2 linked regions of the Saccharomyces cerevisiae S288C genome follow. The protein of the gene in region 2 binds, or shares a complex with, the protein of the main gene of each other region. Each region holds a gene or a part of one and is shown on either strand. Other genes may lie near its edges. A codon is read from its position in the direction of its gene.

The links. Proteins that work in one complex are often made in the same cells at the same time.
Region 1: the proteins of FYV10 (region 2) and RMD5 are in contact, whole or in part, in a cryo-EM structure (PDB 7NS4), measured with the Saccharomyces cerevisiae proteins. Residues at the interface, in NP_012169.1 of Saccharomyces cerevisiae: Phe7 (codon at 2,033), Asn8 (codon at 2,030), Pro10 (codon at 2,024), Val12 (codon at 2,018), Asp13 (codon at 2,015), Phe14 (codon at 2,012), His15 (codon at 2,009), Leu16 (codon at 2,006), Lys17 (codon at 2,003), Leu18 (codon at 2,000), Gln20 (codon at 1,994), Phe23 (codon at 1,985), His24 (codon at 1,982), Tyr27 (codon at 1,973), Leu30 (codon at 1,964), Ile34 (codon at 1,952), Thr37 (codon at 1,943), Gln38 (codon at 1,940), Ile41 (codon at 1,931), Asn42 (codon at 1,928), Thr45 (codon at 1,919), Lys46 (codon at 1,916), Leu48 (codon at 1,910), Leu55 (codon at 1,889), Asn56 (codon at 1,886), Phe59 (codon at 1,877), Glu68 (codon at 1,850), Ala70 (codon at 1,844), Leu71 (codon at 1,841), Ile74 (codon at 1,832); in NP_010541.3 of Saccharomyces cerevisiae: Ser2 (codon at 2,440), Glu3 (codon at 2,437), Leu4 (codon at 2,434), Leu5 (codon at 2,431), Asp6 (codon at 2,428), Phe8 (codon at 2,422), Glu9 (codon at 2,419), Phe12 (codon at 2,410), Phe15 (codon at 2,401), Tyr16 (codon at 2,398), Leu21 (codon at 2,383), Thr24 (codon at 2,374), Leu26 (codon at 2,368), Gln27 (codon at 2,365), Leu30 (codon at 2,356), Thr33 (codon at 2,347), His34 (codon at 2,344), Phe36 (codon at 2,338), Lys37 (codon at 2,335), Leu40 (codon at 2,326), Lys41 (codon at 2,323), Lys44 (codon at 2,314), Leu47 (codon at 2,305), Asn48 (codon at 2,302), Ile51 (codon at 2,293), Arg74 (codon at 2,224), Ile78 (codon at 2,212), Leu81 (codon at 2,203), Trp88 (codon at 2,182), Asp89 (codon at 2,179).

Annotation. Positions count from the first base shown.
Region 1 is NC_001136.10:965,380-970,405, forward strand, and holds RMD5 (ubiquitin-protein ligase RMD5), read right to left. Parts: upstream 2,444-5,026; coding exon 1,178-2,443; downstream 1-1,177. Other genes in the region: CHL4 (Chl4p), read left to right, coding at 1-1,110; CTA1 (catalase A), read right to left, coding at 2,754-4,301; RKM4 (ribosomal lysine N-methyltransferase), read right to left, coding at 4,611-5,026. UniProt on the Saccharomyces cerevisiae protein: E3 ubiquitin-protein ligase component of the GID E3 ligase complex recruiting N termini and catalyzing ubiquitination of proteins targeted for degradation.
Region 2 is NC_001141.2:177,433-182,477, reverse strand, and holds FYV10 (glucose-induced degradation complex subunit FYV10), read right to left. Parts: upstream 2,052-5,045; coding exon 501-2,051; downstream 1-500. Other genes in the region: BMT5 (25S rRNA (uracil2634-N3)-methyltransferase), read left to right, coding at 1-361; FMC1 (Fmc1p), read left to right, coding at 2,239-2,706; SGA1 (glucan 1,4-alpha-glucosidase), read right to left, coding at 2,825-4,474. UniProt on the Saccharomyces cerevisiae protein: Component of the GID E3 ligase complex recruiting N termini and catalyzing ubiquitination of proteins targeted for degradation.

The DNA.
Region 1 (5,026 bases), on a different chromosome or scaffold from region 2:
GCAGAAATAGATTGCCATTTAATGATAAGTAAACCAGAGAAATTTAAGTGGCTTCCATCAAAAGCTTTACGGGGAGATGGGAAACCTTACGTAGTAAAGCTCCAACCTGCCAAATTTATAGAAAATTTACAAACAGATCTAGCGAAAATTTACCATTGTCATGTTTACATGTTTAAACATCCCTCTTTGCCAGTGTTAATTACCAGAATACAGCTATTTGACAGCAATAATTTATTTTTGAGTACGCCTAATATAGGGAGTATAAATAAAGAGTCTCTTTACAACAAGTTAGACAAATTCCAAGGGAAACCATTAATATCAAGGAGACCATATTACGTTGCATTCCCGCTAAATTCTCCAATAATTTTCCATTCAGTTGACAAGGATATTTATGCTAGACTAGTTTTGCAGAGCATTAGTCGAACGATATCAGAAAGAGAAACAATCATCTTCAAACCGGTACAGAAAATACCCGTGAAATCAATACATAATATAATGACTTTATTAGGACCTTCGAGATTTGCGGAGTCTATGGGCCCATGGGAATGTTATGCTAGTGCTAACTTTGAACGGTCACCACTACACGACTACAAAAAGCACCAAGGCCTTACTGGTAAAAAGGTAATGGTTAGAGAATTTGATGATTCTTTCTTAAATGACGATGAGAATTTTTACGGAAAAGAAGAACCTGAAATTAGACGACTAAGGTTAGAGAAAAACATGATCAAATTCAAAGGTTCAGCAAACGGCGTAATGGATCAGAAATATAATGATTTGAAAGAATTTAACGAACATGTCCACAATATTAGGAATGGAAAGAAAAATGAAGATTCTGGTGAGCCAGTGTACATTTCTAGATACAGTTCCTTAGTTCCTATTGAAAAAGTTGGATTCACTTTAAAAAACGAAATAAACAGTAGAATAATTACCATAAAATTGAAATTTAATGGTAATGATATTTTTGGGGGATTACACGAACTATGCGATAAAAATTTAATAAATATTGATAAAGTTCCTGGGTGGTTGGCTGGAGAAAATGGATCGTTCTCAGGAACGATAATGAATGGAGATTTTCAGCGAGAGCAGGTTGCTAAAGGTGGTTTACTGTAGAAAACTACTGTGTTCTGTTATCGCTTCCAATAAAAAAAAAAAAAAAAAACCTATGCAAAAATTTCAGTCAAAGCATAACAAAACGAACCTTTTTTGTACTGCTCATTGAAGTATTTACGGGGCAGTATGGGCACTTGAAAGTAATTGTTCCGTTCTTCGATAATCTGTCTAGCGCCTTTTTAGAAATGATGTGATGGCATGCCAGTGAATAAGGAGGATTTTCTGTAGTGGTTTCCTCCTTTAAGACGGGACAGATGAAGATCGGATGGAAATGAGTCAGAAAATCTGGTAACTTGACATCAAATGGCAACTCATCTTTCGTAGTCCAGTCAACGTGCGCTAACTCCCTGATGGTTTTGTATTTGATGAAAAATTGGAAAGAAATTAAACCACTCAATACTATCAAAAACAAGGGAGAGTCAAAGAAAATATGTTTTGCAGCACAATATTCTTTTATAAATAACGACGTGCATTCTTTTAATTCCTTATTTACTTTAGAATCAATATCTTCAATAGGTTGACCTATTAGCGATTTAGTTAATAATGGTACGACGTTTTGCATTAATTCCTTCTCCCTATGTCTAAAGCAATCCAGGGGTGCGTTCTGTGTTATTTGGTAGTACAACTCTACCGGATTTCCATGCTTCACTATCTGCATTGCTGACAAAGTGTATAAATCAAATTTTAGGGACGATAAAGCCGTATGGTTAGATGATAAGCTTTCCATTTCATTGGAGCACCATTTCAGACAGCTTTCTGTGTCACCCTTTTTAAGATCATGTACGATTTGGCCCATCTCAATAAATTCAGTAGATTCTTTATTAGTAATTCCGTAGACATCTTTTAGATACTGGAAAGCCTCATTTTTATTTCCTAATGGCATGTTGTCTATACTATACCTCAAAATATGGTAACCGATGGCTTCATTAACATTTTCCATTGTCTCTTTCGGTAATTTATTGACATATACGCTATCTATATCAAATTCTTTTAATTTGTTCAGCGTGCTTTTGTTGAAGCGATTCGACTGCTGAGAAACGTACTTTATTTGTTTCTTTACTGAATGGTCCCATTGCCTCTGTGACTTGCTTAGCTTCTCAATAATTAGTTCTCTTTTTCTCTTAAACTTTTGTTTCTCCTTATCACTCAGCTTATTATAGACTTCTGGTTTTGATTCCTGAATATGCTTGTTTAAGTGCGCTTTCAACTTCTTTAATTGACTCTTGAATTCATGAGTATGATCAAGACATTTTTGAAGGTTTGTCTCTTCCAGATTGCTGTCGGTATAAAATTTCGCAAACTCTGTCTCAAAGCTATCTAGTAATTCAGACATCGTTTCTTGGTTCCCTACTCAGTGCTGCATCTCTCTTGAAGACACACTTATCTCATACTGAATGTGTTGAACTTTACCCCTAATAATAGAGATTCCTCAGCTTTTTCCCCGGCGCGACGAGCTTTCCTATGTGTGAAATGATAATTTTTTTAACTTTCTAACACGAGAATATGAGCATCACCTATTAGTCGTATAAATAAATAATTCATAACAAAATACATAAATTGTAATAAATAAAATGTGTTAAAAATACACACTATCATAAATAATTGTCGTGGAAACAACGCCACTCATTTGTTACTTGAGCGTTTCAAAATTTGGAGTTACTCGAAAGCTCAGAAGCATGTTTTGCCTCAGCTACTTTTTTAATTGCCTCAGATAGTCCCTTATCAACACGAGCAAACATATCATAAACGCGCTGCTGTATTTGAGGACAGGCGCCTTCTACATGAATGCCGATGTTATATGCCAAGTTCTTTTGCTGTCCAGGTTGTTTACCCAAAACGCGGTAGAGATTTCTTGCTTGCACGAAATCTACATCACCTGGGGATGTTGCCCAATGATAAGGGATAGCTGGCCCATTCCATACCTCTTGGTGTTGTTGAATGGGTCTGTCCTGTTGGATATACGTGTACGATTTATCGTTGGCCAAATATGTAGGTTCTGAGCCGAAGTTGCCGTTAACATTCATCGGTCCATCTCTGATAGCGGGATTGAAAAATTTAGATGCATATGGACAGTTTACGGGTATTTGATGGAAGTTAGGACCTAGCCTGTATCTATGAGCATCCGCATATGAAAACAAACGGGCCTGTAATACTGGATCAGCGCTTGCTTCTTGGTAAGGAACCGTGGTACTGGGGGCGAAGGCAGCTTGTTCCACCTGTGCGAAGAAGTTCAGTGGATTCTCGTTCAAAACAATCTTACCCACACGCCGTAAAGGGAATTGCCCCTGAGGCCATACTTTAGTCAAATCAAAGACTGAAAATGGTAATTTTTTGGCATCGCGTTCGGTCATTGTTTGAATATAAACTGTCCAGGAAGGATAGTTTCCATTCTGAATAGCCTCAAATAAATCCTGCTGGCAGTAATCTGGATTGGATCCCGCAATTTTGGTAGCCTCTTCTATGGTCAAATTCTTTATTCCTTGATCGGTTTTGATATGAACTTGCACATAATGCCAATCTCCGTTTTTATTGGACCATTTATAGGTATGACCAGAATAACCATGCATACTACGGTAGTTGGCAGGGGTACCACGGTCTGAAAAAAGGATCATTACTTGATGAATGGCCACCTGATTTTCAGGAGTGGTGAGGAAATCCCAAAACATGTCAGCATCCCTTAGGTTGGTTTGTGGGTTTCTCTTCTGTGTGTGGATAAAGTGAGGGAACTTGGAAGGGTCTCTGATAAAGAATACCGGTGTATTATTGTAGACCCAATCTAAATTACCTTCTTCAGTGTAGAATTTGGTGGCAAACCCCCTTGGATCACGAACCGTGTCGGCACTACCTTTATCACCACCCACAGTCGAAAATCTTGTTAGACATTTCGTTCTTTTCCCAATTTTACTAAACATAGCAGACCCGCAGATATCAGTAATGTCATCGGTTACTTCAAAATAGCCGAAGGCACCAGAACCATGAGCATGTGGATTCCTTTGAGGAATATTTTCCCTGTTGAAATGAGCCAAAGAATCAATTAAGTTATAATCTTGCAAAAGCAAAGGGCCATGTTCCCCAATACGTTGGGTGACAAATGGTTCATTGATTGGATTACCAGTGGAGTTTGTCACAACTCTATCCTCTCTTACATCAGAGTAATTTACTTCATTTTTTTCTTGTCCCAATTTCGACATCTTCTAGGGTTCCAAATTTATTTGTAAGTACTATTATATTTATTTAACTTACCTTTTAAATAAACCTACAAGAAATTCAAATGTACGATTTGGACATTACAGTGAAGAATGCTTTCTACATCTCTTTATATGTATGGCGATATCAAAACTGGTTGTTTCTCCAATTCTGTCACTGTGGGGATTTTCGGAGTTTATATTTGTTAAAGCCGTCCTTTTTCGGATTAAGGGACCCCACCAACTTGCGCGGCTAATTCCGGCCAACTTTTTGCATTACTAATTGCGGCTTTAAATAGTGGTTAGAACAACCGCTCACTTCTTCACGCAAGGACGTTTGACAGAGCTTTTTTCTTCCTCTGTCAACTTTCTCTTTAAAATATTAGTTAGCAGCTTTTCATCAGGAATAACCTTGTAATTCTTGTCGATGGTTTCTTCACAAACTTGCAGCGAATCTATTTCGCTTTTCAAAACTCTCCGAGCCATAACATCTCTTAGTTCTTCCCTTGTTAATGAGTTTCCTTTCGAAGGTTTTTCGATAGAAACGCACTTTTTTATGGGGTAATCGGCTAGACGCTTCATAATACAACGTTTCCATGTGGCACTACAGTTTGTAGTGGCGCGGGCACCTTCTATCAATTGTAAACACTTCTTTACAATTCTCTCCACTTGCCTTTCCATTGCTTTTATGTCCAGTTTGCATAAACCTGGAATTTGGCAAAGAATTGTCA
Region 2 (5,045 bases):
TCAAAATGATACTCTTCGTTATACGCAAGGCTATGATCTTAATGAGGATACTCCCCAGGCTAAAAAATTGACCGCCGAAGGTTATGGTAACATCATACTGTCCCTTTTCGATGGAGAGCCCTATGATTCATGGCAAATCAAACTTTTAGCCAAAAAAAATGGACTAACTCTGAGCAGATCGAGCAAATTCCAATGGGAAAATTTTCCAGGATATCATCACCGGAGAACGAATAGCGAACAAGATACTACAAAACCTGCGAAAGAACGTGATGCTAGGTTCTACATCTTTAGTAAATATGTCTCGAATAGTTCAAAACATAACCGTAAAAGCAAAAAAGACACAGATTCTGATTCAGACTAAGTACAGAAGGAAGAATGTCGCCATGTTGATGAAAGAACTTTCATTTTCCCTAATTCTTATATAGCGTAAGTATCTGTAAAATAGTTGTGAAAGTTGGACAAATCTTTATATAAAAAAATGCATATAGCTTGAAACTATTTCAGGTTGGGTACATTTTGATAGAATCTGATTCGCAAAATATTTTCATGTCAACTGGATCCATAATTTGACCTGGATTTAAAGAAATTAAGTTTTGCTTTTTCAATGTTTTGGCCAATTTCTTCAATTTTTTACTGTCGTAAACATTTCCATTTGGTAATAGTATTGGATTTTCAAATAATTGAGACTGAATGTGATGAGCAAATGGTAATGCCTGTGTTATTGGTTTGAAAGTCTCACTGCAAACGGGACAATTTTTCCTTTTTAGTGAATGTAGCGTAAAGAGTTGTAAATCTTCAACTTCTTTCTCTGCTGTTGTGGCAGTTTCCGTCTCTTGATTTCCATTTTCATCGTCAGAAGGGTGCAGGCAATCTCTTGTCTTCAAAGACGATATACCTAGTGACAGGTATATCAATAAAGGGTCATTTTGTGATATGCCATACATGGAATAAAAGTCGCTCAAGAATAAATCATTTAATACCGACCATCTTTGATCATCTAATAAATTCAGATATCTTTCGAAATCTCCACTTTGTAAATTTATTAAGGAACTCTTGTCATAGTCTGTTGTATTCACCGCAGGTTTGGAGGTAATTCTAGGTAAAGATTTGTGAAAAAAATGTTGAAATATTCGATCTTTCTTCATTGGTAAACTTTGAGACTTAATCTCTTCAGTATCGAATCCAGAGCTGGTAGAAGAAGTTGGCTTTTGATCATTACAGTATTTGATAAAAATCAGAAGTCCAGATGCTAATTTTAAATCGGTGAAGTTGCTCTTAACGAATGGTAAAAGGAATCTTTGAAAACATACTATAGCGTCGGTATAGTTATCCACCTTTAGTAGTTCAATATATTCTTGCAATCTTGCTTGAAACTCTAATATAGAGGACTTTTTGGTCAGTGTCTTTTTGTTCTCGTTTATCCATGAAATTAGGGGTAAGAGATTACGCTCATGTAGTAACGAAGTCGAAATTCTATTAGCCTCCAAGAGGACATCATAATCAATGAGATCATCCAGTTGGCTCTGTTTCAAAAACACTACGCCAGAGTTCCAATGATCCTTTGTCTCCGAGTTGTATTTAATCGGGTTATTCCTCGTCAGATAATCACCAATTAAAATGTTTGTATAACTCTGATACCACTGTATCAATTTAGTCCTGGTACCCTCATTATTTCCATTGTGCGATGTTCCTGAATTTTGTGACTTGATGTCCTTCAGTTCGTGGAAAAACTCCAGCCTTTTTTTAATTCTGTTCAAAATCTGACAGTAGGACTTGATTTGCGTATTTAAAAATCTTTCTATATGGTCAACTTTCCTAATCATTTCAGTTATTTTTGCTAGTGCCAACTCGTCGTGCTCAACGTCATTATGTTCAAATATTTGATTTAATGCGGCCGTGTGTTCATGTAGTGATTTGGTTTCCTTATTAATTACCGCTTGAGTATGCTTGATACGTTTGGACAGTAGTTCATAAGGAATATGAAATAATTGTTGATTTAATTTCAAATGGAAATCCACATCAGGCTCATTAAATATTGATTTCTCTGCCATGGCTTACCTACTTTCCTATAATTTATAATCATTTTCTCTGTTTTATGTATGAAATTGTAGATTTAACCACCCCCTTCTCTTCGCCTTTGCAAAAAGTGAATATCTCAAATTGCACTAGAGTTTCATTTGCAGCGATAAGTGGATAACAAAAAGCTGAAAAGAGAGAGAAAGAGAGAGTGCCAGGGAAATGGATAGACCAAGAACATTACGCACATATAGAGGACTCATAAGAGCCATTCTGAAATATGAAAGGCCAAGCAAGATAGTCAATTGGGGCAATCTACGAAAGGCAATGATAACAAAGTTGGAATATGCTAAGAAACAAAATCAGAGAGACTCGCATGAGAACATCAACAGACAGTTAGAGAAATGGAAAAAACTAGATCCGGTAAGCGACAGATCTTTGAATTTGTTTATAGCCGACTCTAAGTCATTACGTTCCATATTACAAAACGATATAAAGTGGGAGAAAAAGGTGGCCCAGGGACAAAACGTTGACGAGATATTCGAACACGCTTTGGACATCATCAAGTTCTTGGACAACCAAAGAGAATACGAGGAGCTGGTCGACAGATACAATCCTGGCAACAAGTTGACACAGGATGAGAAAGTGAAAAGAACTGCAAACGTGGTTGGGCTGGACGTTCCGACATAGTATCTAATCAATTTATAATATCAGAGTTTTGTAAATAAGTATATATATATATTTGATGTAAATATCTAGGAAATACACTTGTGTATACTTCTCGCTTTCCTTTTATTTTTTTTTTTGTCTACAAACTCTGTAAAACTTCTTGTCTTATTTGATAGGCATCCCAGAATGAAGTATAGGACCAGGTAAGGTGTTGGGCACCCTGCATAAACCCTGTGTATTTGTTAAATTGTTCACTTAGTTCCCCGTCTGTTCCCACGTGAGCTTTCAGCTTGACCAAGAATGAATCAGCTAGTTGGAAGATTTTTTGTATGGTTTGATTGAAGGCAGGTGTATTGAACTCCAAAATCAAATAGCCTTCGTCATTTCCCAAAGTCGTGAGGTTGGAGAATACCAGCTCGCTCCAAAATGCGTTCGAACAATCGTTGTTCATTGGGACAACCAAGTCATGCTGCTCAGAGATGTGTCTGTAAATGAGCTGATAAAGCGTTGTTGAAGCGGTACACGTGGCCAGGACCCAGGGATTTCCCTCGCCAAAGCCATATCCATCATATACGTCCTCAGGATACCGGCCCAGGGCAATACCCGTTGCATTTTTGGAGCTATCGTTGATGGGGTATATCGAACGCATGTGCAACATCAAATGGTGCAACGTGTTCAGGACGGCAGGGTCATTGATATCGAACGGAAGATGGGAAGCAGATGGCGCATCGTGGACGGTGTTCGCAGCTAATAAAGTGGATATGTCCAGTCCGGATCTCAATGTGTCGGCAATCATGGGTGTCCCAACAATATAATTGTACTTGCCGTTGATAAACCCATTCGCAGGGTCCACTAAAAACTTGGAGATGTCCCGGCGTGTCTGACGCAATTCTTCAACAAAGGGAGACGACCGTTCTGAGGCGTTAAAATACGACAGCGACTTGTCCACTGCAGACAGTTGTACCAGTAAAGTAAAGAAATGCATGCCATTGACTTCCTCCCATAGATCAAATCCGGAAGAATTCCAGTGGTCAATAATGAACCTCAGGTCCCAACGTACAATATCATCAAAGATATCTGCGGTGGACTGGAATGGGTACTTGGCCCCCAGATCAGTGCCAGATTGCTTGATGTAGTCGATGATTTTTAAGATGGCAATGCTTCGAAGAGCAGGCCCATCGTTTTGAGGACGACCCCAATCTTCCGTGAAAGCCGTGTTGTCGACGTTCCACTTAGGGTCTCCCAAAGCCACTGTATCGTTAGTGTAACCAATGCCAGCGCCCAATGTGTTGTTGCTTCTTTGCAAGTGGAATGAAACGTTCAGGTACTGCAATAACGTCTCTATTGCCGGGCCCGCAGAATGAGAGACAATACTGTTTATCGTCAACGCGCTGTCCCTTATCCATTGGTAGAAGTAGTCTGGATGCGTTTGCGATGGTGACGCAATCACGACCCCAGGCGAAATAGACGGATACACGGCGCTGGGCCCAATATTTTCAAATATTTTTTCGATGGAAACTTTTTTCTGTCCCTGGAGCCATTCCTCCAGCGCACTACTGTCCCAAGCGCCGTTTGAATCGTATACCACTGTCCCATTCATCAAGACTGCATCCCGCAGCTGCACTTGCGAAGGGCCGTTGTTTGAAAATACACCGCCGTAGCTTTGATCGAGAATGCCCTTGCCAAAGTCAAATTCGTATATAGTAATGTTCTCGAGCGCCCAAGCAAACCCGAATCCTACGCTGAGCATGCCGAGTAATTTGTTATAAAACATCTTTTGTCTTGCCATTTTGCTGCTGTTACTTATTTGAAATCTTGCTCTAGTCCACGATTATCACTATATTGTAAATGTACGATTTCTTGTGTAACAGAACAGATAACGGATCCAGAGCCAAGAGATGAGAAAAAATACGAAATGCGCAGGAGGAAACAGGGAACCAAAAAAGGACCCTTGCTTCTGTGCCTGAGTCCCCTAATTTGTGACTCCACACATGCAGGCAAGTTAAAAGCACCTTGTACGAGTGCTATGAATGGGTGTTACTCTGGCCCGATTTCCCTGACTTTCCTTATTCACCCTCACCCCTAATACCCGTTTCCGCGGATAATGTTCTATGCTTCGAAGCGCCCCCCTTGCGCTGGGCCTCGAACCGCATCCATTGAACAACAGCTTGGCCTTCCCTGTATTCTACCACATCCATTGCTATTGCCCCTCTCCCCTTCTCCTCTCTCTTCTTCTCCACTATACTGTGCTTTTCAGCCCATTCGGCGCGCGAAATCACAAGCTGTATATATACATTTACATATACATATATATATATATATATATGTGCATAAATGTATGTACATATATGAATGCCGGG